Linked DNA regions of Mus musculus. The protein of the gene in region 1 interacts with the protein of each later gene in a pairwise test. Links are inferred from orthologs where the notes say so. Each region holds a gene or a part of one and is shown on either strand. Other genes may lie near its edges. The genes, in order: Phyh and Pex7.

Evidence for each region.
Region 2: the proteins of Phyh (region 1) and Pex7 interact in a two-hybrid assay, tested with the Homo sapiens proteins (2 studies listed by BioGRID, with this or other methods). The link is inferred for Mus musculus from reciprocal best matches to the Homo sapiens genes PHYH and PEX7.

Annotation. Positions count from the first base shown.
Region 1 is NC_000068.7:4,912,458-4,927,703, reverse strand, and holds the start of Phyh (phytanoyl-CoA dioxygenase, peroxisomal precursor), read right to left. Parts: upstream 8,709-15,246; 5' UTR 8,635-8,708; coding exon 8,560-8,634; intron 4,877-8,559; coding exon 4,818-4,876; intron 2,107-4,817; coding exon 1,996-2,106; intron 355-1,995; coding exon 186-354; intron 1-185. UniProt on the Homo sapiens protein: Catalyzes the 2-hydroxylation of not only racemic phytanoyl-CoA and the isomers of 3-methylhexadecanoyl-CoA, but also a variety of other mono-branched 3-methylacyl-CoA esters (with a chain length of at least seven carbon atoms) and straight-chain acyl-CoA esters (with a chain length longer than four carbon atoms).
Region 2 is NC_000076.6:19,898,013-19,913,283, forward strand, and holds the start of Pex7 (peroxisomal biogenesis factor 7), read right to left. Parts: upstream 9,663-15,271; 5' UTR 9,562-9,662; coding exon 9,447-9,561; intron 7,891-9,446; coding exon 7,833-7,890; intron 6,702-7,832; coding exon 6,551-6,701; intron 1-6,550. UniProt on the Homo sapiens protein: Receptor required for the peroxisomal import of proteins containing a C-terminal PTS2-type peroxisomal targeting signal. Specifically binds to cargo proteins containing a PTS2 peroxisomal targeting signal in the cytosol.

The DNA.
Region 1 (15,246 bases):
GGGGCAGAGTCATTTTCACTTAAGAGCATAGCTCCAGCACCCTATATAGAGAGGAGTTGGAAGGAGGCAGACCTGCCATGAAGCTGATGGGAAAGGGACATGGGGCTGGATGGTGTGACCTGAGCAGATGCTGGAGACAGACTTACAAACTGGCCATTAAACAGGAAGGCAGGCCGGGCTCTCACCTCGGGGAGAAGGCAGTATCTGAAGAGCTCCTCATCTTCTTGGAAATCCTGGATCTTTGAAACCATCCTATCACTTGGCATATAATCCTGTTTTGCAAGGGCCACATCTCTCATTATAACGATCCCTGGTGGTTTCACCTCCTCTCTGCAGATTCTTTCAAACTCTGCTCTAGAAATGAGATTTACAAAGAGCGTTATTATGTGGGCTTCCAAATACCTGGCTGGCTCTGCTGAGAACTTTGCAGATTCTGGGACTGCTTCTCTGATCTAGTAGAGTAAATGCTTGTGGGGAGGAGGAAAACGTGGCCAGAAGTCCTGCCTTCTACCTGGAACTATTACCTCAAAGTACCTCCTCCACAGCAGACCAGTGGGGAAACGGTGTGTGTGTGTGCGTGTGCGTGTGTGTGTATGTGTGTGTGTGTATGTGTGTGTATGTGTATGTGTGTGTGTGTGTGTGTGTGTGTGTGTGTGCAGTCTAGACTGGCTGGCCACTGAGTGCTCCTCTCCCCAGGGCTGGGCTACAGGTATATACTGCCATTCATGGCTTTTACATGGATGCCAGAGATTCGAACTCAGGTCCTTAAGCTTGCACAGTGAGCCCCCGTCTCTGGCCTGAGAAGTGACACTGTAATAATAGAGGCTGAGCATCCTTTATCCAAAGTGCTTGGGGACAGAACTGTTTTGGATTTCAGATTTTTTTTTTTAAGACAGGGTCTCATTTTAAAGCCCTGGGGATACTGGAACTCACTCTGTAGACCAGGTTGGCTTCAAACTCACAGAGATCTGCTTGCCTCTGCTCCTTGAGTGCTGGACTCAAAGGTATGTGCCACCACACCTGTCTTGGATTTCAGTTTTTAAAAACTAAATACTTGTAATATATGCATAACGAGATAACCTCATGATGGGACCCAGGGCAACACAGAATTCACTTGTGTTTCCGTTACAACCTGTACACAGGCCTAAAGGCATCTTATGCATCATTTTTGCCTATTTTGACTTCACCCCTTCACGAGAGGTTGCGTGAGGGGTTTTCCAGCTATTGTTCCATGTTGTCACTCAGGGGGGCTTTAGATTTGGCAGTGAGATTTATTTGATGTTGAAGGTTGAACATCCCTAATGCAAAAAAATTGGAAAAGCAAACTTTTCTGTAGTACCTCTGGGGTGTCAACCCTGGTCTGAGAGCCTGACACTGACTTCCCTTATTTTGTTCCCACAACACGAAGACACCAGTAGACTCAAAATGCCCCATTTTAAGAACAGGGAAACTGAGGCATACGCAGATTGCCCAAGCACATTACGGGTAGGACTAAGACCCAAGCCAGAGAGTCTGGCACTTGAGTTTCCATTTCTAAACACTCCCAAACAAATCATCCTTAAAAAAGAATCTCTGAACTCATCTAGGGAGGCAGCTTAGTGAGTCAAGCACCTGCTGGCTCACTCAAGGCAGGAGTACAGAAAGGCAGATGTGAGAGTGTGGAGCTATATTCCCTTCATTACTTCTGTAAGATATACATAGAGGCAGAAGGGCTACAGGAAGCTCTCAGGCCAGTGAATAACAACAGCAAACAAAAAAGAGACCTTGTCCCAAGCAGGGAGAACAAAGGGGACAGACAGACAGTGCGGTTGTCCTAGGACCTCCACATGCATGAGTTGGAACCCACACACATAAACTGTGAACACGCAGAAGCTAGTCTAAACCTGTGTTACCATTGCATTCATGTAATGCAGCTTTTTGCACTTGATCTTAGCCAAAAGGCTGAGACGCAATATAATGTAGCTTTTTGTAAAATCATAAACAGAAGTATTATACCGAAAACGTTGAATGTCATCATCAGATACCAGATTCTTAATGACGAGAAACCCATTTTCTTCATAAAATTTTCTCTGCTCCAGGGTGAGGACATTATTATCCAGAGTATACCTAAAGAAAAAAAAAAAAAAAGAGCCTCCAAGTAAGTCCCCATTTTAAATTACAAGCTAGCAGTATACCTGAAAGAAAGAAAACTAAATTCAAGGCTTCAAAGCCCTAGCCAGAAGGTTTATTCAAGGCCCTAGTCAGAAGGTTTACAGACTTAAAGCCATAAAGATAAGAGAGTCGGGCGGGTGGACACAAAGGCTGTAAAGTCATCCCAGGAACCAACTAGCCACTGAGATAAAAAAAAAAAAAAAAAAAAAAAAAAGGCAAGGACAATCTCAGATGAGTAATGGGCTACCTGCTGATATGGTTTGAGCTTAGCCAGATGCCCTGCCAACCAAGATAAACACCCTCCATTTAGAGTTACTGTCACATACTGCTCACTGATGTTTAAACTGCCCACTTGTGTGTAACTGTGCCAATTTCCCCTATCCCCCCACTCCTTTCCTATATAAACCCCTAACTTTTGAGCCTTAGGGTCAACACCTCTGTCTCCTGCGTGAGATACGTGTAGCCCGGAGCTCCGTCATTAAACTACCTTGTGTGTTTACGTCAAGATGGTCTCTCTTGATTCTTTGGGTGCACGCTATCTCTTGACTCGGGTGGGGTTATCCCCACGGAGGTCTTTCATACCAAGAATCTGTCTTACTATCCAAATCTAACTGGCCTGGAACTTGCCAGGTAGGCAAGGCTAGCCTTGAACTCAGAGATCTGCCTGCTTCTGCTTCTTGAGTAAAGGGACCAGAGATATGTACTCCCACAGCCTGCCTGCATTTGTACTTTTCAACTCAACATTTCTATGTGTATTGCTTTAATGAAGTAGTGAGGACAAAGTTTAGAGTGTTAAGTCCAAAACATAGGTACAGTCACCAAAAATGTGTATTACTGAAAAAAATATTAACCAAGGAATTATATCTGTACAATAGATGTTAAAAATGAAGGGCAGAATACTGTGGGCATACTTATTATAATAGGATAAAAATCATATAAAACAAAATACAGAGGGAGAGGAAGGAGAGAGGGCATGTCAATGTCTGTAGCTGAGCAGTTGCAAAGCAGTTTTGTTTTAAAACAATGGTTGCCTTTCAGTAATGATTTAAAATTCTGAATTTTAAATTTTCTACAGTGTGAAGAGCCAGAGAACTGCCATGACAGTAGTGTGTGTAGCCAAAGTCATGAGAGCAGAGTGTGTAGCCAAAGTCATGGGAGCAGGGTGTGTAGCCAAGAGGAGCTCCTATCTTTGTTAAGTTTGTAAAGGGATTTTCTCAAGAGGCTTTGATGGCTGAAGTGCCTATAGGCTGGAGCTGCAGAAATAAACTTTGAGCCTTGACCAGAACACTGTCTTGGTTCCATTCTTCTATGGCCCACAGCCTTTTCATTCCCAGCGCTCCTTTCAGGTGACCCTGCTCGACCTTAAGCCACTGGATGGCTACAAATAAGCATTGTCTTTCAAATGGAAGATCAATTCAATGAAGTATATGTGATATGTATAAGATAAATATTTCTTAAGTTAGGGTCTCACTTTGTAGCAGTCTTGAACTTGGAACCTCCTGCCTTAGCAAAGTCTGGGATTCCAGGAACACACCACACCCAAATCATACATTTTAAGTAGTCTAGTCAGTACACTCTCAGAAGCAACCCACCCACTCCTTAAGGTTGGTGCTGTGGCTTTGTCTACGATATTCATGAAGGTTGGGTGCTCCCCTTAAAAACAAGGCAATACTCATGTCAGGTGCTGGACTACAGTTGTCTCAGCTGCTCAGGAGGCTGGAGAGTCCTAAGCTCAAGACCTGGTGAGACCTTGCTTCTTACACACAATCTCTCTCCATTGTGTTTTGTGTGTGTGTGTGTGTGTATCTGTCTGTCTGTCTCTGTCTCTGTGTCTTTCTTTCTGTGTCTCTTCATCTCTCTGACTCTCTTGTCTCTGTGTGTCTCTCTCTCTTTCAAAATGCTAGCCAATATGTCAATAACACCAATATAGAAGTAAAGTAACGTGACATGTGATGCTTGGATTTTTCAAGGGTAAAATTATGTATTTTCTTTCTCTCTCTTTCTCTTTTTTTTTAACTTCTTTTTGGATCTTAGCTATGTTAAGAAAACTTAGGTTCTCCATAGTTCCCCAAAGCAGTACTGGTAGACCATTTTCTGGAAGCAAAGTGTGTTCTACATGGATTCTAGTTGGGTAGCTTGCTGCATGTTATGTTACCTGGTTGTACAGTGGACATTCTATCCCAGCTACTACTAGAAAAACTTTTACAAGCTGTCTCAGTTAAGGTCAATATTGCTGAGCTGAAACACCATGACCAAAAGTGACTTGGGGAGGAAAGGGTTTATTTGGCTTACACTTCCACATCACTGTTCATTATTGAAGGAGCTCAGGGCAGAAACTCAAACAGGGTAGGAACCTGGAGGCAGGAGCTGATGCAGAGGCTATAGAGAGGTGCTGCTTACTGGCTTGCTCCCCATGGCTTTCTCAGCCTGCTCTCTTATAGAACTCAAGACTACCAGCCCAGAGATGGCCCCACCCACAATGGGCTGCTGGACCCTCCTCCATTAATCACTAATTAAGAAATCCACCAGATTGCCGACAGCCCAATTTTATAGAGGCATTTCTCAATCCAGATTCTTAGATGATTAACTCTTGTGTCAGGCTGCTGTAACACACTAGTCAGAACACATACACAGTGAAGTAACAGGCAAAAATGAGATCTACTTACTGGAATTGTTCAGGCTGGAAACTGGCAGGGGAAGCCAACCCTGATACAGGCTGGGCTACCTAGGGGAGAATTAAGGAAAAGAAAGAAGAAGGCAGGAGACAACCTTTTTGCCAAACACCAGCCACAAATCCCCCAGATTATACCTGTAGCTCCAGTCAGCCCCAGTCCCAGGGTTTCCTTGTGCTAAGCTACTGAGCAAATAAGATACCAAAGGTCACGCTTTAGAAGGGAGAGCACAGCTTGGGCCTCGTGTGACTGCAGGCTAAACTGGAAGGAGCTTGGACGTCATTAGGGCACAAAAAGTCCAAGCCACACCAGTGAAGTAAACACTGAACCGTCACTCAGTAACTACGGGTTAGGAACAGCCCTTTTCTGTTATCTTTTTTCTTTTTTTGGTTTTTCCGAGACAGGGTTTCTCTGTGTAGCCCTGGCTGTCCTGGACCTCACTCTGTAGACCGTGTGTTGCTGCTTTTGGAGTGTCAGTTCCACACAGGTGTGGGTGGAACCCAGCACTTGGGAGGCAAAGGGGGGGGGGGTTGAGTTTCATCAGCTTGGTCTACAGAGTGGGTTTCAGGCCAGTCAGGGCCACACAGTGAAAGCCTGTGGGTCTCAAACCCACCAAGAGACCCACAATGTCACTTCACATGAACTTGCCATCTACTCGTGTTCACTCATTTATTGAAACAGGATCTCACTGTGCACCTAAGGTAGGGCCTGGGTGTTTTATAGCCCATCTGATCTCAGTTTCTTCTGCCTTCATCTTCCAAGTGCTGGGGTTACAGGTGTGCATTGTCAGGCCTGGATTGCTTTTAATTAATTAATTGATTAATTGATTAATTAATTAATTAAGGCTTTATGACTTTTAGAGACAGAGAACATGCTACATGAGCTAGCCTTGAGCTTAATAATGTAGCCACGTATGATCTTGAACTGATCCTCCTGCCCCCCACTTACTTCCTGCCAGGTGAAATTATAGACAGGCACCACCATATGCGGTTTATTGTTTTTCTTGCTTTCTTTCTCTTCTGTTTTTTGTTGTTTTGTTTTGTCCTTTGTTTTTTTGGTTTTTTTTTTTTTTGTTTTTTGTTTTTTTTTGTCAGAATCCCACTACGTAGCCCTGGCTGACTGGGAACTTGATATGTAGACCAGGCTGATCTTGAACTCACAGAGACTGTCTGCCTCTGCTGAGATTAAAGGTGATTGCCAACTATCTATTATTTATTTACTTTTTTATTTACGTATTTAATGCATATTGGTGTTTTGCCTGCATGTATGTCTGTGTGAGAGTGTCAGGTCATTTGTTGCTGGATGACAGTTGTGAGCTGCCATGTGGTTGTTGGGATTTGAACCCAGGACACCTCTGAAAGAGTAGCCAGTGTGAAGAGCAGTCATTGCTCTTAACTGCTGAGCCACATCTCCAGCCTCACAATTCCCACTCTTGTTCAACTTTCCCAATATAGCATTGCCGCAAGGACATATAGACCTCAGTGCTCCAAACTGGTCACCTCGGCCCTTCTCCACTGTTTCTTGGACTTTGATGATGTGGGAGAAATGTTAAATGATATTGAAATATATGACAGAGATGGGGGTGTGGGTGGGGTAAAGTGAAAAGAGACGCAGAAGCTGTGACCCAGGATGACCCCAATTATGCAAATACAAAACATTCCTTGTTCCCTAATCCACACTGCTTTTTTTTTTTTTTGGACAGGGTTTCTCTGTGTAGCCCTGGTCGTCCTAGAACTCACTTACTTTGCAGACCAGGCTGGCCTTGAACTCAGAAATCCAATCCGCCTGCCTCTGCCTCCCAGATTCTGGGATTAAAGGCGTGTGCCACCACTGCCCAGCATCCACACTGCTTAGAAGCAAATTAAGGCTGAGGAGATACGGCCTCAATTTCTAGAACTCTACTTACATAATATATTCCCTATGGCTCTTGGTCAGCACTATCTAATATCCAATACTAGCTGCTAGCTACATCTGGCCATTTAAATTGAAAAATGATTCAAGTTAAAAGTGTATACTTTGCCGGGCGTGGTGGCGCACGCCTTTAATCCCAGCACTCCGGAGGCAGAGGCAGGTGAATTTCTCAGTTCGAGGCCAGCCTGGTCTACAGAGTGAGTTCCAGGACAGCCAGGGCTACACAGAGAAACCCTGTCTCGAAAAACAAAACAAAACAAAAAAAGTGTATACTTTAATCCCAGCACTTAAGAGGCAGAGGTGGTGGTCTCTGTGAGTTCTAAGCCAATCCAGTCTATAATAGCAAATTCCAGCTCGCCAGAGATGCGTGATAAGATTCTGTCTCAAAAATCAAGCAACCAATAAGATCCAAAGAGTAGTGAAGAGACTGCATCAATTTCAGTCCAAATACATCTAGTACCAGTATATCCAAGGTTCTCAAAATGTAGCAAACATCCAACTGCCAAGAAAAAACCAGACTGTGATATTCCATCCCTACATGGCCTGCAGGTCTAACCACTGCTTTAGTCCAATACACACTAATCAGGGTCTTTCCCCATTAGTTTCTCAGTGTAAAATGAAGTTACATTATTAGCCTGTAGAGTTTAAGCTTGAGGTAAGCCTGGCACACCGCTGCTTATAAACCAAAAGCCCCACAGGCAGAATAACAGGGAAGGCCAAATAAACAACTATTATGATCAGCCTCGGAGGTGGCAGGCACTGAAAACCCTAAACCATTCATTTTTAGCAATTTCTAGGGCGAGGGGCCAACAGTTTGATGCTTCCTCCCATCCCCCAAGAGTCTGAGTGTATGCATGTATGTGTTTGTGTGTGATGTGTGTGTACACACACGTGTTCGTGTGCATAACTGCTTCCAAGCCTTGGTTTAGTGTTTTGTTTTGCTTTTTAGACCGTCTGTCACTTTTGGCCAGGATGGCTGGCCATTAAGATCCTCAAGTCTGCCGGACGGACGGTGGTGGCACGAACCTTTAATCCCAGCACTTGGGAGGCAGAGGCAGGCGGATTTCTGAGTTCGAGGCCAGCCTGGTCTACAAAGTGAGTTCCAGGACAGCCAGGGCTATACAGAGAAACCCTGTCTCGAAAAACCAACCAACCAACCAACCAACCAACCAACCAACCAACCAACCAACCAACCCTCGAGTCTGCACCTGCACCTCCCAGGGGGATCACAAGCATTTATCACCAGGCACTCGCTTCTGAAGTCGCTTTCCGGGAACCAGTTCAGTCCTCAGGAGACTGGGGACACCTGGCCCCTGGAGTGGGAGCTTACACAGCTAGTGGGATGGTGACAGACAGAGGGCAGGTGGAGATGGGCAGCTAGCTACCTGCTGGACAGGGTCCTGAGCCTTCTCTTTTTGGCGACTGGCGCCTCCTCCTGACCTCTGAGAATCCCTGCCTCTGCCGGCCTTGGTCACAGGCAAGCACCTGTGGGCAACTGTCCTTGGTGTTTCTGGATGCAGAAGTCAACTCAAAAAATGGCAAGCCTCTTTGTGATGACGTCGTCACCTTTCGCTTTATGCTTCCCGCTTTACACCAGCAAGAAACCACGGTTTCTTGAAGGCTCAAAATGCTGCCTAGAGAAGTCCCACCAGAGAGCCCTTCCAGAAGACGAGGGCTCTCTGGGGATGCAGCCTCCACCCGGGAACCCTAGGGATGGAGACAGGGAAGAGATGGCGGCGCAGAGGCTCTCTTATGTCCTTGAAGCCACCACCAGGGCGGAGAGGCTCCTTCGAGCCTGTGAGCCCTTCCACAGCCCAAAGGATACAATCGTTGGGGCCGAGGGTCGGCCGAGGTGTCCCAGAAGGACCTGCAGCCGGGCGCCGGCGCGCGTAAGATTCATGGTGGGGGCCAGCAGACGAAACTGCTGCGCCCAGGTCACACTTAACTTACGGCAAGGCCCCGCCTCCTAGTAGAGGGTGGAGTTCTGTCCAAGGGCAGGACACAGCGCCACCTCCCCCAGGCTGGGGGTTGGGGAGCTGGGGATGAGGGAGCGAGCCTAGGCTGTCTGGAGTCCTTGCTCCCCGCCGCTGTGTCTTTGTTCTAATCTGCAAGGTCCGAAATTTTGCGACTGGGGTGATGCAAGCCGAGCAGCCCGAGGCCGTTAGGGATCTGAGCCACCCTTTTAACTTGGTAGTTTTAATCTATGAACAACTAATCTATGTGACTAGTTCTCCCACTAAAAATTAAAATCATCTGTGTTATTCAGAAGAGACATTAAATTTAGCGTGAATTCATCCTAAAATATTAGAAAGTTTGGCTGTTAGTTTTTAAGAAGAGCGATCCACACGGTCTAGGATAACTTACATTACATTTTTGTGTGTGGTGGTGGTAGTGGTGATGGGGTGTGGTGTGTGTGTGTGTGTGTGTGTGTGTGTGTGTGTGTATGTATGTATGTATGTTTGCATCCTTGTTTGTGGAGATCAGAGAAATAATCTTCAGGGAAGTTGAGTCTCTTTCCACCACCTGAGTTTTGGGGATCGAACTCTGATGGTCAGGTTTGTTCAGCAAGCTCCCTTAACCACTGTGTATCTCACCAGCCAGTATAACATGTAAAATTTCTTATGTAGCTAAAAACTGTTTTCTTTAATCCCAGCACTTGGGAGGCGGAGGCAGGGGGATTTCTGAGTTCGAGGCCAGCCTGGTCTACAAAGTGAGTTCCTGGACCACCAGGGCTACACAGAGAAACCCTGTCTCGAAAAAGCAAACCAAACCAAACCAAACCAAACCCAAAACAAAACAAAACTGTTTTCCTAAAGTCTTTGAAATTCAACCACTACACATAATCTCAATCTCTTTGTCTCTCGGTCTCTTAAGAGAGTTACTTCTAGATTGCTTCTAGTTACTCCATAAACATGTTATTGTTTCTTAAATGCTTTCATTAGATAATTTGGTGACAGTGCCATAGTCCAGGAGAGACAAGCAAGTAACCAGCTGGCTACTTCCTGTTTTCAGGTTGCAGAGATTTGCCCTTTGTGCCTTGACCTTTAGGACGAGATTCGCTTAGCTGAAGCTCCCAGGGCCGGCTTGGTCATTTGCTTATCTCCCAACCTCATCTGTCCAGCCTGAGCAACCTGGTGGAAGCCTGACCATGTCCTGAGAGACCGGCTTAATTAGCCCACAGTTTAAAAGCAGGACTGACTGCATTCCCCCCCCACCCCCCACTTGGGAAATAGGTGTGTTCTTACTGCCCTCACCTGGTGCAAAATGGGAACTGCAGGGAGAAGGAAGAAAACAAAACTGAAATTAGTCTGAATTTGGGTCACCTCAAGCAGAATTGAAAGATTAAGACCGTCATTCTGAGGATGACTGGTTTCCCTAAAAAACAGAGAGAATTATGGCTTTGGGGCCTGTCTTAGGGTTTCTATTGCCGCCATGACCATGACCAAAAAAGGAAGTTGGAGAGGAAAGGGTGCATTCGGCTTACATTTTTACTGATCTGTTCCTCATTAAAGGAAGTCAGGACAGGAACTCAAACAGGGCAAGATCCTGGAGGTGGGAGCTGAAGCAGAGAACATGACAGGTGCTGCTTAACTGGGCTCGTTCTCCATAGCTTGTTCAGCCTCTGCTTTCTTCTAGAACCTAGGACCACCAACCCAGGCCACCAGCCCAGGGATAGCACCACCCACCATGCCCTGGGCCTTCCCCATCAATCACTAGTTAAGAAAATGCCTAACATCTGGACCTTCTTGAGGCGTTTTCTCCTTGAGATTCCCTCCTGTCAGCTAACTTTAATCTGTCTTAAACTGACATAAGACCAGCACAGGATGAGAGATTGTGGCACTCAAGATAGAATTTCCTCCTGGCTCTGTGTGTAACGTTTCCTAACCTGTATTTTTGTTTGTTTGTTTGTTTGTCTTGTGGTAACTGAGCTTAGAACCCAGAATCCCCCATAAGAGGCAAGCACACTAACAGTAAGCTATCACACACAATAAAACAAAAATAAAAATAATAAGCAGATAAAGCAAAGGAAATGATTTCATAGCCAATCCTGAAAGAATGATAGATGATATCTGCAGTCCTAGATTCTCTCTCCTGATTTTCTCTAAAGCCCAGGTCATTTCTGAGCTCATCCTGCTAACGAGCTGCTCTTCGCAAGCGGCCACCATGTGCTCATCTAGGGGTTCTGTCTCACTGCATTCTATCCCATGCAATCCTCTGCGTGCGGCCATGTGGAGTAGGCCCGCAGTGGCTTCCTCTCCCTCCTTTTCTGACTGACCTTCCCTCTCCTGAGATCTGTAGTCAGTCCTTTTACATCTTCGTTCTGTGAAAACCAGCTTTCTCAGTCACCTCCTCCAGCCTCAGACTTTAAACTTCAGCCTTCAGGAGAAGATCTCAGATTTGTAACCCTATCTTGGAATGTTAAACTCCAGACTATGTGTCCAAAGACCTCTCTCTGTGTCTCTCTGTGTCTCTGTTTTTCTCTCTGCTTTTTTTTTTTTTTTTTTTTTTTCACTTTGCAACAGAGTTCCCTGGAACTCATTCTATAGATCAGGCTGGCCTTGAACTCAGAGCTCCACTTGCCTCTGCCTCCCAAGTGCTGGGGTCAAAGGTGAAGACCATCACCACCCTCCTTTGTGGGGGATGTGGAGGTCAACCTTGTGAAGGAAAAAGTGGAATGGAGAGAGAAGCGCCACAGGATCGAAGAGCCCTGATCTGCTGTACTTGGGATTTGATCTAAGATGGCTCCCGGAACACCTGTGAGACAGCAAAATGGAACACGGGCCAGATGGTGGCTGCCCCGCCTCTTCACAGAAGTCCTAACAGGTGATGACACTCCCCGCCCCCCCCCCCCCTTTTGAGTGACCTTATTAGGCAGGGCTTTCATTGGGGCATGGTGATGGTATGGCAAGACACAATTGGCTGAGGATTTAAGGGCCTGGCTCACTGTATGTAAGCTTATGCACAATAAACTCACATCTGCACCCTGACGCTGCTCTCTGGAGTTTGAGTCCCAGGATTTATGGCAGGACTCTGTCACCTCTCACCCCTCATCCTGAGCTCTCTTTCCAGATTCTTTCCCCACTGAGATTTATATAAAGAATAAATCCATTTTCCCTCCCAGCCTCTGATCAGGAGTGAAGCTCTGAGACTAGTTATTTATTAAGAAATGCCTAGGCCACTATCGTTGGCTCATTCCCTGACTAGCTCAAAACTTATTTAACCATTCAAACTGCTCTCTGTCTGCCACATGCTTAGTCACCTGTCCTCAGCTTTCTGTCCAAGTCTGGGGCATCCTCTTCATCCTAAAGTGAGGGCAGCTACCCGCTGGTTTATGTTCGTCTCCCCAGCGCTCCTGGGGAAATCTCTCCTGTTACTCCATCCTGAGTTCATCTGGGTGACTTGTTACCTCTGCTCAGATCTCATGCTTCTTGAGTTCATCTGGGTGACTTGTTACCTCTGCTCAGATCTCATGCTTCTTGAGTTCATCTGGGTGACTTGTTACCTCTGCTCAGATCTCATGCTTCTTGAGTTCATCTGGGTGACTTGTTACCTCTGCTCAGGTCTCATGCTTCTGCCTCCTCAGTGGTCCCTGGCAAATCTCCCTTTATTTTACCCTGAGTTCATCTACCTTCCTGTTAGTTACCTATTACCTCTCCTTCAGTTCTGACTGCTTTTTCCCTACTGGCCTCCTTCAGGGTCCTCCCTAGCATCTCTCTTGAATCTCCCTTTAGTCTCTATTTCCCAGAACCTCTCTCTTCCTGCCAGTGTCCCACCTCCCATTATTCTGCCTCAGCTCATTGGCCATAGGCTTTTTTATTGACAGGTGATGCTTCTAAGAGATTCTCTCTACAAAAATGTCTAACACATCAGAAGGAAACCTCTTGCTCTCTCTTTCTCTGTAGGTGCTGGGAATTGAACCTGAGTCTTCTATGAGAGTAGCCAATGCTCTTAACCACTCAGCTATCTCTCTACCTCCACCACTTTTGAGACAAGATCTTCATGAAGCACAGGTAGGTCTTGAATTCATTATAAAGTTGAAGATGACCTTGAACTCCTGATTTTCCTGCTTCCCCCTCCCACGTCCTGAAATTACAGGCACACACCATCCTATCCAGTCCCAGGCTTTTTGGGTTTTTTTTTGTTTGTTTGTTTCTTTTTGTTTTTTTTTAAATATTTATTTGTTGGTCTGTTTTATGTATATGAGTACACTGTAGCTGTCTTCAGACACACATCAGAAGAGGGCATCAAATCCCATTACAGATGGTTGTGAGCCACCATGTGGTTGCTGGGAATTGAACTCAGGCCCTCTGGAAGAGCAGTCAGTGCTCTTACCCACTGAGCCATCTCTCCAGCCCAAGGCTTATGTTTCTTATGCTTCTCCCCCAGAGGTGGCACTATATTAGGAAACAGGGTGTGGGGCCTAGCTGGAGGTGAGCCCTTGGGGATATACTATCTGTCTTAGTTAGGGTTTTATTGCTGTGAAGAGACATTACCATGTATCCCTGATAAAGGAAATCATTTACTTGGGGCTGGCTTACATTCTCAGAGGCATATTCCATTATCATCATTGCGGGACTGTGGGTGTAGGGGAAAAAGGGGAATGGGAGAAAACCCACATCCCACCAGAGTTCCAGTGCTCTGAGTGGGCAGACACGGGAGGACTGTGCATGCTTTCCGTGTGGCCCAAGGTGGGCACCTGTGTCAAGCCACTTACCCCACACAGCGGGTTGTGGACAAGGGGCAACTCCAGGTACCAGGTTCTCAGCCTCTGGCATCCCACGCTGAATCTGGCGAAGGAGCAGAGAACAGAATAGGGGCCCAGGGGGCAGCACTTGGCCCAGAGATAAGGGAAGAGAGGGCAGAGTTAGAGGGGGGCACTGAGTGGCTCCCACACAGGCAAGAGTCCTTAGTCCAGTCTGTGGCTGCAGTGTAGGAAGGCCTTCTGGCGGGAGGTTAGACTCAGCTTGTTAGGAGAAAGCCTATCCCCATTGTTCAAGCTCAGCGGGCCTTGATGAACAGAGACGGTCCATGGTTTTAGAGCTTTATTGTAGAAAAGCAGGGAGAAAGGAGAGAAAGTAAAAAGAGAGAGAGACAGGCCATGGTCACATGGAGAGAGAGAGAGAGGGAGAGAGAGAGGTTATCTAATAATCAGAGTAAGAGAGGTAAAAGCTTAGAGAGAGAAAGGAGGGGCCAAGCAGACCCTCTTATAGTGGGCTGGCTATCTTGCTGTTGCTAGGTAACTGTGGGAAGGAGTCTAGCCAGAATGCCAGAAGCTTGGAACATTGTCTACGTGACTGATAGCCACAAGCCTCTCTTGAGAGGGGGGGGGGGGCTATGGGGGCGGTAACTTCGACAGGAACCAGGGGTCCAGGAGACATGATCGAATGCCTTCTGTCCCATGTAGGTGGAATTTACCACCCACCAGGTCCCACCTCAAGACCCGGGGTTCAAGACCTTAGCTGGACTGGAGACCAGGCTGTCTGTGCATAGCCCATTGCCCCACACATCATGGAGGAAAGCATGGCAGGGTGTGGGCAGACTTGGTGTGGAGGGACTGAGAAATCTACATCTTGATCCACAGGCAGCAGGAGGGGACCGTGTGCCACATTGGGTATTGCTTGTACATAGGAAAGTTCAAAGCCTACCCCTATAGGACACACTTCCTCCAACAAGGTCACACTACCCAATCATTTCAAACACCTAAGTCTATGGGGGCCATACTTATTCAAAGTGCCACACTACCTACCCATGGTCTCTACCTGTCCTGCTATCTACCTCGGATCTTCCAAGAAGTGAAGAACACCTTCCTCAACTGATCTAACAGGAACTGTGATATTCTGCCTAATAGAATGAGACCAATTTCTAAACAGGTCCACTTCTTTTCCACTGCCTCTGCTGGGTGGTGGGCTAGAAGGGAGGTTAAAGCATTTAAGAACCATCATCGAAAGCAGGTCTGAAAAATCTCAGCTATGGATGCATTCTTCATAGTGTAAGGCAGGAAATTTAAGTTTGATCCCTAGACCAAGTTGGAGCCAAGAAAGAAAAATAGTTGGGCCCTGAAGCAGCCTGTTCCAGGAATTGGCTGACCACAAAAGTTAGATTAAAATCTTGAGAAGCAGGGAATTTCCCCTTGTGATTTTTAGTTCCACCTTGTGATTTTTCACTGGCATTTTTGATTTTTCCAATAACACCCTCCCTACACCCTTGGGTTATTTTTTTTTTAATACCCCCTTTCCCAGAGTCGGCCCCAGCGTGCTGGTTCCTATCAATAAACCTCGTGTGATTGCAGCAAGGACGGTCTCTCCTGAGTTCTTGGGGGGTCATGTCATCCTGAGACTTGAGTGAGGGTCCCCCCTCTTTGGGGGTCTTTAGTCGATGTTCCTATAGGAATCAGCTCTTATAGCACACAGTCCCTGGCAAACCAGTTCATTTAAGCTGCACTCTATAAACTCAGATGTGTGCCTTTCCAAATATGGGCTGATCGAGAATGGACTATGTTGTGCACAGCTCT
Region 2 (15,271 bases), on another chromosome or scaffold:
TCTAGCAAGAAGGAAGGATGAAAGGGAGATGGACGGATTATAAAGAGGTAATCAGGGACTCCAGAGCATAAGTAATGCCTTATTTCTTAAGCCACATGGTAAATATTCAAGTGTCCAATGTACCATTTTTACATCTTACATATATGTATAAAAATTTCCAACCATACAAGTTAGCAATGCCTTCCTACAGATCTCAAGGGGCAAATGCTAAGTGGTCAAGCCATGCTTCCTCTGTCCTTGCCTTCCTGGCACTTTGCTTCACCTCTCACACTGCTGCTATCTTTTCTGCCTAGTTCTGCATTCATACTCTCCCTCAGAATCAAGCATGCTCACCCTGCCCCGTCCCAGTCAAGGGTCTGCTCACCGGCAGCACTGTGTCCACTCAGCCCTTGCCGTGGCCTCTCTCCCTAGAGCAATCAAGAACCCAGGATACACTGCAGACCTGCTCGTTTTCCCAGCTGGGCCAAGCACAGAAGCTCACTCTCAGCAGAGCTAAGGGAGGCTTTTGGAATGCATAACAAGCTGGGTGAAAGACACATCTTGATCTTTGTGTGCTGACCATTTCCAGTGTTTCTTCTCCGTTTCCAGTTTCCCCCTCCATGACCACTGGAAGAATGAACACTGAAAACTGTCTAATTAAATACAAAGAAACATCATGCAATACCTGGCTAGTTTCAAAAGCAGGGTCCTATAGATGAAATTATTCTTGGCACTAAATAAAAGTAATTGGAAAAATAAGAGAGAGAAAAACAAATAAAAAAAACATTGACAATATTTTGTGCCACTTTGGCAAAGCTGTACTTCATCAAAACCAGTTTGAGCAGATATATTTTATAACAGAAACCGACTCCCAAAGAGCCTGTGTTATCTGCCCTAAAGTAGTGCCCTTTTGTGAGGTGATCTACTTAAACAGAAATAGTCAAATAGACACTTGCTCTGAATTTTCACTTAACCCGCACGAACACAAAGAGACAATGATCCTCAAGCCCAGTGATTAGAAAGGACTCTTGCTCTTACTGTAGGAAACCCGTAAACCCTTTTCACTGCGGAGACTTATGAAGTTAAAGCAATGGTTTTCCAAACAATTTTACACACTGGAGTCATCTAGTACTCTAAAATAACCTTGAAAACTTGCCCCAGACCCGAGACATTGTAACCTAAGCATGAAAAAAGGTGAATGCATCTTAGATAATGCTAATGTTCACAAAGTTTGAGAACATTGCGATAAAACAAATATTATGCATACTTTTCTCATTTTAAATTTGGAGATTTCAAATTTCTGTGTTGTAGTCTAGCCCTAACAGCTACCACCTGAAGCAGGTCAACTGAGAATGTAATCTGCTTCTGTAGCTGGTAGCCGTTAGACAGGAGTATACTATACATGGAGCCTACTGGGAAATGACCCACACTGTTTCCCAACTTCCTCTCCCACCAATGTACCACACATAATGCATGCTCCAATCATACCATCTGATTCTGTTTGTTTGCATGACCCCAAACTACTGGAGATTAACATGTAAGTCTCATACATGCCTAGTGCACAGTATGTGCTACCACATAGGCATGTCTACTGCTCTTAATTCAAGTACAGGTTTTAAAATACTACATGGTGCTCCTTTAATAATGGTGGCAGATAATATAACCTACTGGCAGTCAAATTCAAAGAAAAGTAACTAGCACATTTCTAACAAGAAGGTAGTTTTCTACATAGTCAAAGAGCTTTAAATTGCCATTTTAAAGTATACTAAAATATACCTGCAGTAATCTACTCTAAAATAAAATAAATGGTTGATTGCACCTTAACATGCAAAAGGAAATACATTTGCTGATTTTTCCCCTATAATTATTACAACCCTTTAAAAGAAAAGAAGAGAGGCTGAGTGTGGCTCGGCAGCAGAGTGTTTCCCTGGCAGGCACAGAGCACTGGGGCTATCACCAGCATCACCAAAAATGGAAAAAAAGAAAAAAGTACCTTTGGTAGAGAAATCTTTCATGGTATTTTAAGTATAAATGTATCTCTAAATGGCCCATACTAATGTCAAATATATGGTAATCATTGTATATTAATATTTTATTGGTATTCATCAAAGGGTATATTATTAATTCATATTTAAAAGACAAGACATAAATCATTCAGCACATTATTACTATAAAATAAATAAATACACTTTCTCTGTGACAGAATAGGAACATGGCACTTGAAAACTACACATCTGCAAGAAGAAAAAACAATTCCAAGCTGGGGTCGTAGATCAATTAGTAGAGCACCTCTGCCTAGTACAGACGAGGCTCTGGGCCATGATTGCCCTTCCCAGCACCACATACACTGGGCATGCCCAGACAGACCTGCAATCCTAGCATTCAGGAGTCACAGGCATGAGGATGAGAAGTTCAAGGCCATCCCTGGCTACATCAGGAACTGGAAGCTAGCCAGGACCAAAGTGTCAGACAGAAAGGAGAGCAGGAGAAAGAAGTGGGAAAGAGTAACTCTGCAAATGGAGAAACCTTGCTACTCAGTGAGGAGAACAAATGTAGAGTGTTTATGAGTAGCCTAGCTAAGTGGAAATGAGACACTGGAGTAAACAGCGCTGACTCTGTACCCGCCTCACAGCCTCTCTGCTTTGTCCCAGTCACACAGCGCCGCGCCAAGTCCTGAAGCAGAAACATCATCTGAGTTCTCAGTCCACCTCCCCGGGGGGGCCTTGTTGTTTGTTTTCTGTTGTGTAGTTGTTGTTGTCCTTGATGACTTTGCAGTCTGTCTTATTCTTCCTGACTGGGGCTTAAAAGATGCAGTGGCCTCTGCAGACACCAATTAGACAACACAGAGAAGAATCTGACTCCTGCTTTGATGTTAAGTTTGGCCGCAAGCACCTGTACCCATCAAGTCACCTCACCCACCACCCCTTGATGTTAATTAAGTTGGTTTCTTTTTTCTTTGATTCCACCAAGACCGTCAATCCCAGAGCCTAAAACTGATCTAAATCCTGGATTTCTCCTTTATGTTCTGAGGAAATTCAAAAAAATCATCAGATACCACTACAAAAGCCTATGCTCAACAAAACTGGAAAATCTGGATGAAATGGACAATTTTCTAGACAGACACCAAATACCAAAGTTAAATCAGGATGAGATAAACCCTCTAAACAGCCCCATAACCCCTAAAGAAATAGAAGCAGTCATTAAAAGTCTCCCAACCAAACAAAGCCCAGGACCAGATGGGTTTAGTGCAGAATTCTATCAGATCTTCAAAGAAGACCTAATACCAACTCTACTCAAACTATTCCACAAAATAGAAACAGAAGGAACACTATGCAATTCGTTCTATGAAGCCACAGTTAAGCTGATACCAAAGCCACACAAAAACCCAACAATGAAAGAGAACTTTAGACCAATTTCCCTTATGAATATCAATGTAAAAATACTCAATATAATTACCAAAAACTGAAACAAAACAAAAATTAAATGTGATTTTTTTTCAATGTCTTCTCAGTTCCTTTAAGGGAACCAAACATTTTATATTAAAGTAGTATTTTAAATGATTTATTTTAAGATTCAGAAATGTGTCTAAATATATATTTTTCACTTATAACTGTAAAGCTGGAATGCAGTTTTCAGTTATGATGAAGAGCCTTGAGAAGGAATGAACAGGTTGACAAACCCACAATCTTTGGTGCTGCATCCGAAGCACGCCTTGTTCACCTCGGGACATTGCTTCAGGGCTTGGACCAAACTTCTTGCTCTGAAAGGTAATGGGTGCTGAAGCTGAGACTCCTGCACTAGGACTACCTGGATGCTGAGCGGTTTGTTTAGGAAACACCCTGTCTGGTGGGAGTAGGAGCTGCGTCCCTCCCAATCAGAGTTGAGGATGCTGAAGAAGGATACATTGCCTTCAGGTGGACGTAGAGCTCGGGATTATTTGGTCTTCAGGGCTCAACTGAGAATGTCAGAGGCAGAAGTCTACATTTTTCCCCACTACATATGTACCCAAAGAAGTCCCCAATAGCTACAACAGGAGGGAGCCAGGAGCCCATGTTTGTTAGACGCCATCTCAACGACAAAGCCCCACTTTCTCTGAAATGAACAGAGTGACAATTCCTATTTCCCAATCTCGAGAGACAGCCGTGTACTCCTGATCCTGTGGCACTCTGACCTTGGACTCAGCTTCTAGAACTGGGACAGACTTCTGTTATCTACGAGCTACTCAGCCTATACTGCTTTGTAGGCAGCCAATGGGCTTTCTTGGATTACCACATACCCTGGGACTAATCACAGAAACTCTGCCTCTGAATAGCAGCCCACAATAAGACGGAAGTCAGCATCAACACACGAGGGTGCACTGAGACAAACATCTGAAAGGCAGTTAGTTCACATGAACAAGCTTACCAGTAAAATAACAACAACCACAATAGCAATCAAACAGAAAAACCTGTCAAAGTCACTTTTAACTAAAGCCAAAGCATCCTGATGCAGATGTTTATCAAGAGTTGCCTTTGAGGAATCTAGACAGATGGCTCAGTGAGTAAGACTGCTTTCTGCAGCAGCATGAGAATAAGAGTCCAAGCTAATCCCCAGGAGCCTCATGAAAAGGCCAAGTGTTACTGTGCATCTATAGTACGGCACTGTCCAGAACAGAGACGAGAGGCCAGAAGAGCTTCCTGGCTGCTAGGTTAGCTCTGAGTTTGGTGAGACAACTCGTCTCAAAGAAATAAGGAGGAGCCTGATAGAAAAGGAAACCTGCATCCCCTATAGCCTCTGAGCACACAAACACACAACATACATGCTGCCCCATACACAGGTGCAAGCACATAGGTGCACACGTACAACACACACAGATGCCCCCACACAAATATAATCCAAATAAACCAGCATTAAAATTTTATGTTTGAGAAGAAAACAATCTAGAATAGTACACACATGACAAAGTTTGTCTTCAGCACAGCACATATTCAAAGCTTCAGAGAATAATGTATGAAACAAGAATTTGTTGCTAAAGAAAGCAGATTTGAGCACGAGAGAAGCCATTTTTCTGACCATGATTAGTACAATCTAAAAGTCAAATAACTAATTCCAGAAATAGAAAAATTCATAAAGGTCAGCCATCAGGGACATTGCAAACAGAATTTCCTAGAGAATATAAAGAGACCACTAGGTATATGAAAATGATATATGCATTAATTACATATCTACTTAACATATGTTAAAAACAAATACATATCTAGGAATCTTGACTATTACAAACAAATAAATGTATACAGCTGTGAATCTGATGGCTCGTGACTAAACAAACAAATGCATGCAGCTGTGAATCCCATGCCTTGTGCTTATTACAAATAAATGTATATAGCTGTGAGTCTAATGGCTCAGACTGTTACTTTTAGAGGTGATGTAGCAACTGAAGGTAACTTAAAGGAAACCATTAAAGCAGCACCCCACTTCCATTGCCCAGTGATTTTTCCAAAACCATGGTAATTTACAACCATATTATTCAAGGAGCCATCCCAACACAATAAAGTAATTTTATTTTTAGAACTAATTATAGAACTATTGAGTTTTTTAAAATAGTTATAACTATACAATGTTATCTAGGATACTCACATCACTCAGTTTTTTTTTAAACAAAACAATAATGACCTTCCATGTAATGAACACTTGTTAAAGGCCTGAGATGAGGCAGGCATAAAGGTAGGTAAAAGCTAGAAAGCAATCTGTAAGTCGTCACTGAAGGCTCTATTGCTAAGGTATAAAACCAAGAAAGAATGTCTTCATCACATTCCTTAAAACATATGCATGCATTTTGGTATTTCCAAAGTATAAACTAGTTCCTGCGCCTCATATTACACACACACACACACACACACACACACACACACAGAGTCCAGATGACACAAAAGTCATATTTAGATTTACGTTTAAATTTGCTTTAGGGGGCTGGAGTGATGGCTCAGCAGTTAGGCATGCATACTGCTCTTGCAGAACACCTGAGCAGTTCCCAACACCCACACCAGGCAGCTCGCAAACGCCTGTAACTAGTTCTCTGGGGAAACCCAGTAATTCCAGCTTGCATGAGTGTCTGAACTCACTCTTGTGCACGTGTGCGCACACACAGTCACACATACAAATTTACAAACACTAAATCTTTATTTTCTTTTAGTGAACTCAGCCTCCTAGTTGGTACTTGATGCCGCTGTTGGAATACATTGAGTCTTACTGAAGCCTGCAGACAATCGTGAGAGAGCCTGCGAACAGCCCGCCCACCCTCTCCTGAGGCACTGCGTGTAGGCGTGTTCATAGGGCATAAGGAAGGCTGAGGCCCTCTGGAGGGAAGGATGCCACCGTGCCTGCTAGAGGCACTGCTGTTGCCTAATGAGAAGCCTGACCTTTTCTTGTCTTGTCTTAGGCTAAGAAGTACTTTATGTTTGAATAACAGAATAATAAGTGACATCTACTATGAATAAGAAACATTAAAGCTTAACCTTGTCCCCTGAAAGCATTTCCCTGTGTTCATCCCAAAGAGATTTCAAACAAACAATAAGGGAAGCCATCATCATACCTCCTGCGTGTGCTCTTTATAGACTTGGAGAGGGCCTGTGGCTTTGGCAGTGTCCCAGAGCTGCAGTGAGCCATCACCACTACAGGTGACAAGGACATGCTCATTGTTTTCACTCCAGGTAACGTCAAACAAGCCGTCATTCCAGTCAAAGCTACGCCAGAAAAGAAAATACATGCACTGCAGATCACAAAATGATTAACATCTTAATTTTATAGTTACTGTTTTTTTCCTTGTTTTTCACATATTGTAACACACATTACCTCAGATGATCTTGAAAACTACAAGAGATAAATAGAGCAGGTACTCCACAGTGGCCTGGAAGCACAGCCCAGGAAGGGCAGGTAGATAGCTCCAAAGTTAAACTGAAAGGAGGTTTCCAAACACTCATATGAGGTATCCACCAAAGACATGCTGACATCACCTGCTTTTATTGTAGTGCACCTGTGACTCACAGCATGCACTTGTGAGACTTTCAAAATACGGAGACCAATCATTTCAAATACTCCCACAAATCTTTCTTCATCTGAGCTACGAGCAGGTAGTGGCTTTCTACAGAATCTCTTTCCTCTGCCTTTGACTAATCCTGATAGAAGTAGCGTGTGTCCATCACTCAACCTGGAAGACAGGTCCAGAGAGAAACACTGGGCAGTCCACAGGATGAGCGCTAGCTCTTGCTTAAGGAAACTAAATTACTAAGACGCTCACTGTTTTACGTTTTAAATGTATAATTTATAAGCAGACACTAGTAAGCTTGAGAACATGGCATAATCATAGTTAGCAAAAATAATTTCTATATGATGCCAATGTAAAAGTTTATTTTACATCATAAATTAAAAACCTATTAGTTCCAAATATTCAAAATGCAACTGCATTAAGACTTTGACAGAGGTTGACTGTATATGTACACTTAATAATTAGAGCCATTATAATGGTTTGAGGAGAATGGCCACCACAGGCTCTTAGGTTTGAATACTCAGTCCCTAGGTGATACAAGTATTTGGGAAGGATTTAGGAGATGTGGTATTGCTGGAAGAAGTGTGCCACTGGGGCCAGGCTCTGGGACTTCAAAAGACTTGCCCCATTCCCAGAGTGGATCTCTCTGCCTCCCATCTGTGGCTCAAGATGTGAGCTCTCAGCTGTTCCTGTAGCCATGACTTTGCTCCACCATTATAGACTCTGACCCTGACCCACTAAGATTATAAGCCTAAAGTAACTACTTTCTTTTGTAAGTTGCCTTAATCTTGATGCCTTATCACAGCACCAGAAATGTCAATCACTTTACCTTCTAAAAATCTGAAGTCCAGATTCATTTTGATCCAATACTAATAGAGTTCCACAGCCTAGAAGAAATACAAAACAAAACAAAGCCCTAAGTCATGTTGTTTAACCTCCTGGGAGTCATCTATGATGAAATCTTAAACATTGTGGACCAGCTTTAACTACCACAAATTTCCCATAAAATAACTGCAACCGTATATACAGAACAATTAAAAGTTACATAGTATGCTTCAGTCCTTAAATATCCAACTTACCATCTGGCCAGACTGGAATCGGAACACCAGTCTGGGGAAACGCATCAGAGTGCCAACTCACACCGGGCCTGGTGCTAGGCACGCAAACCTTTCAAGCTGGAGCTAATAACAGAAGACAAGGAAGGCTTGTGCTTACAAACCCCCAAGACTGTGGTTCTCCCCTGCTGATACACGCAGAACACACCAATCACAGCATTTTAAGACAGTATATGTGGAAATACCATATACTCGTTGGTCAGGTGTTGAAAACAACATTAACTTCAGTTATGTGCCAACAATCAATAATTTTTGCTGAAAGACTAATGTCTCTTTCTCTCCCCCATCTCACACTCCATTAACATCTGTTCAAAGGGAATCTGCACTTGAACTTTACAAGGTAAGATGACTAATTACTATGCTCACATGCACATTCAACTGTTCAAACTAGAGTCTTCACAGAATTTCGCTTTGAGTTTTTGTGATCAGTGAGGTGGGTAAAGTGTTAAAGATCTTCCACTTAAACGTAACTGATGAAGAAGAAAAAAAAAAGTCAACTGTCAGGTCAGAGACCCGACCCCTTCCATGTGCAGAGCCAGCTTCTAATCCCAGTACCCACTTGGCAGCTGACAACCATCAGTAATGGATCCAACACCCTCTTTGAATCTTCTCTTCTGACCTTAGCTGGCACCAGGCATGGTTCACAGACATACATACAAGCAAAAAACTCAGACACACACACAAAAAATCTCTAGAAAACAATTCCTAATTATACCAATTTCTTGTAAGAAACCTTTATAAAAGTCTAAAGTTTGATGGCCAAGAACTGTGAACCCAACCGTGAAAGCACTAAGCACTAATGGACAAACTATACGGAAACAAGTTTATTTACCACTACTTTTCAGAAATCGTATTTTTTTCCTGCAGTAAACAAGTATTACAGATCACTGACATTATGCAATGGTTTGCCATACACTGCTCCTGTGCATAAACAGCAGATGGGGTATAAGTTAAAATAAATGGCTTGAGCACTTAGACATCTCTGCACATTTATCCACTTCCCCTAGAACAACTAAAAGCGAGCACAGAATTTTCTAGTTTTTTTTTTTTTCTTTTTCAAGAAAGGGCCAGCGTCTCCCTAAGTCTCTGTTGAGGATGGCTTTGAACTGGTGGCTCTGTTGACTCCACCTTGCAAGTACTGACAAGTGCATCCTTCTTACAGAAGGGAAAGGACTAGCTGTAGACTTCCCCTGGGCTCCAATGCCAACTCCGCAGAAAGGGGGACCTAGGAGGGAGGGCCGAGCTCTGTCGCCCCCTGGCGGTGGCGGCGGCACCGCGCGCTCAGCGGCGCGTCCTACGCCCGCCCCGGAGGCGCGGCCCGCGCTCACCCGCGATGCCGTAGTGCTGCGCCGCGGCACAGGCCAGGCGGCCCGGCAGGTACGGAGAGAACTCGGCCGCATAGCCGTGGCGGCCGGGCACCCGCAGCGTCCGCGCCGCGCTCATTCCGCTCGCCCGCCGTCACTCGGCCTCCCGGCCCGAGCGCGGAAACAGTCTCGAGGTAGAAGTGCCCCACTGCGGCTCACTGAAAGTCCAGGAAGGCCGGGCGGAAGTGACGACGCCGACGCCCGGAATCCTAGATTTTGATTGGGCTACATAGAAAAGGGAACTGACGCCGCGAGGACCATTTTTCTTTTGGGCAAAAATCCAATGATTTGCTCTAACTAAAATCAACTGGTCTTTCAGAGATTATTCTAGACCTAAAAGAGAAGATACTCGCTAGGAGTCACTTCAGACAGTTGTTCACGTTTAATTGCAACCTCCATGTTTTTTTTTTAAATAAAAACCTTGTGTTTTTATTAATTGCTTGAACTTTAAAACTTTGCTATTCTGACATTTTCCTGATGGTTACGAAATAAAAGCCACAACAAACTCGGAAAGCAGTTAGTGAGTCCAAGGGCAACGAATGGAGTACTAGGTTGCCCAAGGTAATTTGAATCCAGACAACAATGAAGTTAAAGGATAGGACTATTATCATGTGCAATTTGCGGTCTATAGGTTTTATGTAGTTAGTTGCACTATGCAGATATATTCCAGTAATTAAGGAAGACTTGGGCTCATTAATTTCTTCATTCAAATGTTTGCCAAGCATATGCAATGTGGTAGATGAATGTGCAGTTTGCCAAACCAAACACTGAAGAGTGAAAGAGACTTGTTAATCATTAAACCAGTCAACCTGCACAGACCAAGTCATGTACCAAGCTTGGTGCTAGACTTTTGCATTCAAAAGACCCACTGGGATACGTGGTTGAGCTCAAGAGATTACAAGACTTGAAAGCTGTCAAGTGTAATCAAAATGCTATTGATGCTGTGATGAATATACACAGATGTTTTTAGGGTAGGGTGTCAGGGAACATTTTAGAAAGGAGATAATCTAGGGTGAATTCATACAAATGACTTTCTCTAACTAAAAAGTTGGAAGCCATTGTGGGATCAGGAGAAGGGTGAAGAACCCAGGAAACCTAAAACCGCAAGGGATGGTAGCTGCCAGGACTCAGTCTAGCCTGATAGAGAAAGAGCACTTTGGGTAGATTCCACCTGGTGAGAGAAAATCAAATGCTCCAACATGAACTCTTGTATTGTACCCCATGCCCAAGGAACTGTGCTGCAGCTTAAATAATAGAGATCTGTGCAAGTTTTCAGATATGGATCATTTAGTGAGTTATCATTCCCAAGCAACAGTAACTGGAGGCTAGAGATTGGCAATGGAGTACAGTTAGAGACTTTAGCAACAACTCAAGCAGAAGATGCTATAGTTGGGTAATAGTGTTTTGTTGAGAATTATGGAAAGGTGTGGAGAGGGTACGCTTAAGGGTCAAATGAAGACAAAAAGCTTAAATGGTTTCCAACTCTTAGTATAGTACTTATCTAGACACAGGAATTGTTTATTGAAATAAGGACAATGGAGCATTAATAAACTCCAGTTCTGCATGTTGACTGTGTACTGTGTGCAGTACTTGAATACAGCACAATGGAGTCCAGCCAAGCCTTCTTACTTGCATGTAGATAATATTTAAACCACGGAAATTATTTTTATTTAGCAAGAGAATGGAATGAGAGAAGACAGATAAAGGCAGATTTGGGGCAAACAGCCACATGGAAAGCTGGCAGTGGAGAAGCTATGGAAGGGAGAGAGATCCACAAGATGGGGACTGTAGACTCATTTATTACTTGGGGCTGGAGAGATGGCTCAGTGGGTAAGAGCAATGACTGTTCTTCCAGAGGCCCTGAGTTCAATTCCCAGCAACCACATGGTGGCTCACAACCATCTGTAATGAGGACTGATGCACTCTTCTGGTGTGTCTGAACACAGGGACAGTGTACTCACATATGTTCACATCACATAAAATAAATGTCTCTTAAAAAAATACTGCTCAAGCCAGGCATGGTAAATGAATGCCTTTAAACCCAGAATTTCGGAGACAGAGGCAGGTAGATCTCTGAGTTTGAAGCCAGCCTAGTCTACAGAGTGGCTGTCCTGGGGACAACCAGGGCTACAGAGAGAAACCCTGTCTCCAAAAACAAAACAACAAACAAACAAGAAGTATTTTTCAAGCTTGGAAGATTTGCACACTATTTTCAGATGTAGATTTAAATGCTTAGAAATTAGATTTGCATCAGGCAATGACACAACAGAGTTCTTATGGCTATGTAAGTATCTGTTTAGGGGCCTGGTATCTCTGTCCATAGCAGTACTAAATGCAGACTGGACAAAATATGGAAATTATTCCAATAACAGCAGATAACCTATGCAAATATTCTACCATTCAACTAGCTATAGCCCTGTGAAACTTTACAAGGGTGGAAGACAGGAGGATCACTGGTATTTAACTGGTCACCAGTCTAGCTCTGGGTAGCAGGGGAATAAGGTGGAGAGTGATAGAGAAGGGACATCTGATAGTCTTCTCTGGCCTCAGTGTGTACACCAAGATGGCTACCTGCACACAAATGCACATAAAGCACACACACACACACACACACACACACACACACACACACGCTACTCTGAGTGATTCTCATACGCTAACTACAGTACAAAGAATAAAAGCACATTTAGAGTAAAGTGTTCAGCTTTGTCAGGAACTTAGAAAATGGAAGCAGACACTGGACCTGTTAAAGGGATGGTATGCCCCAAAGCAATCCAGGATTCTGTGTCGGGAAGGCAGAGGGAGCATGCCCTCACACACACTAGGCAAACACACTACCAAGAGCTACAACCCAAGTCTCAGACTGAGTTTGCTAAGATAGTACATGCAGGGTATCACTTGGGCAATGGAAGGCCTGGGAATGATATGATATCTTCCTTCTGGAACCAGAAGATACCACCAGACCTGAATTCCTCACATGGCTCATTTTTAGTTATTGCCAGCTTTACTGCTTTAAGTTGAAATTTGAATTCCAGTGATATTTCATTTGTATTAGGCAATGAGTATGCTACATGTAATACTTGAGTTACCTTGGAAGTTTACAAGCATGGGAGGTATCTGCATGCCTGTTTGTTCCAGGAGCTTTACACTCAGGTAAACCTGAGGTCCAGTGCATGTGGTATCATTTCAATTACACTACCTGTGTGCTGTTATCAAGGGTGACACAAGATGGCTTACAAAATCCTGAATCGGTGTCAACATGAAGACCTCTGTTGCTCATGTTTGCAGACACTCGAAAGTTCAATTCCAAATTAAACTACTATTCTGATTAGATAAAGAGCAATTTGAGCTCATGAGTAAAAGAGCAACTGGCCCCTACTTTTCAAAAACAGAACAATTTTGTTTTGTTTTATTCTCTCTGCATATCCCTGGCTGTCCTGGAATGCTCTCTGTAGATCAGGTTGGCCTCAAACTCACAGAGAACCACCTGCCTCTGCCTCCAGAGTGCTGGGATTAAAAGCATGCATGGACATTGCTCAGCCGAGAACAATTTTTTTTTTAAAGAAAGTATGATGCATTAAAAAGTAACTCTGTTGGCAATGTTAAGTTAACTGAAAAGTTAGAGTCATGCAGACATATACTGTATGCCAACTTCTCTCGAGACTGGTATTCCTCTCTGTTAGCTTTCAGAGAAAAAACATTCAAGAACCTTAAAAATGAAATTAATTTCCTTTCTCCATCTCCCTAAGACAATTTGCCCCCAGATTTCGTCTGACCGGCTTCACTGTTGCTGGTTTGCTTTGAAGCTGACCCCAACCCAGGAATGGTCTTACCTTCCTGTCTCACAAGGAAACTCTGTCCTCTTAAGCTTCTCCATGAATCTGAACGCTTCCAGAAATTCCAACCAACTATAAAATCGAATTTCTGATTTTTTAAAAAGAATTCATCATAAGTCTATGAGAATTAAAATTGCTTTTCTTATTTTTCCTTTTTTTCAAGCCATAGATCGTCTCCTCTTTGTAGCAAATTTGATGAATAAAAATGTTTGTAAGATGACCAATATTAAGACAGCTTTATAGTGGAGAAAGCATGGCTGAGTAGCAGAAGACTCTGTGTTTTGAAAAAAGGCACTTGGACATTTGGGGTTGTGTTCTATTAAATGAGCATAGTGGGTCTAATCTTTTTTAAAAAATCTTTTTATTATAACTTTAAGGCTTCTTATAAGGAAAATCCACCATACTTGGAAGATATTTCTATTCAAACTAAGTCCAGCAGAGGGTAGCCAAGCTTTAGCCTGTGTTTCCGTCATGGCAGGGTAACATTTCCTGTCAGTGGAGGACCTGTCAGGGAATCTTAGTTAACAAAGCAAATGGTTGAAAAGTGTGCTCCCTGAGAGCTATAAAGCAATGTCCCCCAAAGTTAAAACTATCTTGACCTAAATTCATTTTCTTTTTAAAAATAGTATTTTTTAGATATTCATCCAAATATCAAGGATATATATTTTTATATAAATTTTTAAGAAAAAAATGCACATACATGGTAAATAAATATCTGGACAGTAAATAATGAGAAGTCTTTTCATGCCAGATCCTTTAAATTTGGGTTCTAATTTTCAAAAAAAAAAAAAACCTTTTATATATCCATGTATTCTGAAATTGAAGATTTAACCAATCTATGGAAAATATTTGAGGAACCAATTATGTTATCAACCATGTAGTGACATTTTTCTTCTTGCCTCTTTCTCCAGACAATACAATGTGTGGCAGGAAGTTCTCTGAAGACTCACATCTATTTTGCAGAGCCAGCAGGCCGCCGCTGGCTGTCTAAAACATTAGGATTTGCAGAGCAATGGACTATCCCACATCAAGCGCCAACGTCATCTTTGGCTAGCTTTTGTTCAATAACCCTTTACTATCAATATCTGTATCTGACTTAACATCAGTTTGAGTACTAGATAAAACCCTTGGAGAGTCTGGCTAAGCAGACAGAGCACCTCCTCCTGACTGTAGCCCAGCTAGGTGACTATCTTCTCCACTACATAGGGGGTTGGAGGCCAGACTGGGCTACCTGAGACTTTGTTTCAAACTTTTAAAAAGTTGCTTTCTAAGGGGAAAAAAAGTGAGTGAGTGAGTGAGTGAGTGAGTATGTGTGTGTGGCCTCCTGGTAAATAAAATCATAAAATGATTCAGTGAAGAAAAGAGGGAAATATGCCGCAGTTTCTCTAGGAAGAATGGAAACATTGGACGTCAAAATTGAACAAGACTTACTTACTAGTCCTTGTATTCTTTTATTACTTTTTAATTGTATACTACAAACAACTATAATAATCTTGGGTATTATTCCATATCAACCCATATTTTTATCATATACATTCTTAGCAACCCAGAAGGCTCCAAATTTACTTGAAGTGATATGGGCATATTTTTACCCAAAATAATATTGCTATGAACGGGCTTTGTAGTTAAGCAGATTCAGGTTTAAAAGCAGGATCCATCACTAGTCATCAGGACAATGTGGTCAGTGTTCCCCTTCAGCGTCCTTATCGTGCACGGATTTAATGATTAGTTCCTAAAACAAAGATGTAAAGAACCCAGGATTATGCTGGGCACAGAACATTCTGCCACATTGTCTTAACTTGTGATAAACTAGATTCTGCCCCTGTCCCCTATATCAAACCCGTGTACTAAAGCTCTAACTTCTCCATGTGACTGTATTTAGAGATGAGCCTACATGGCACTAATTAAAGCTAGGCAATACCATGAGAGTATAGTCCACATACAGTAGCACTG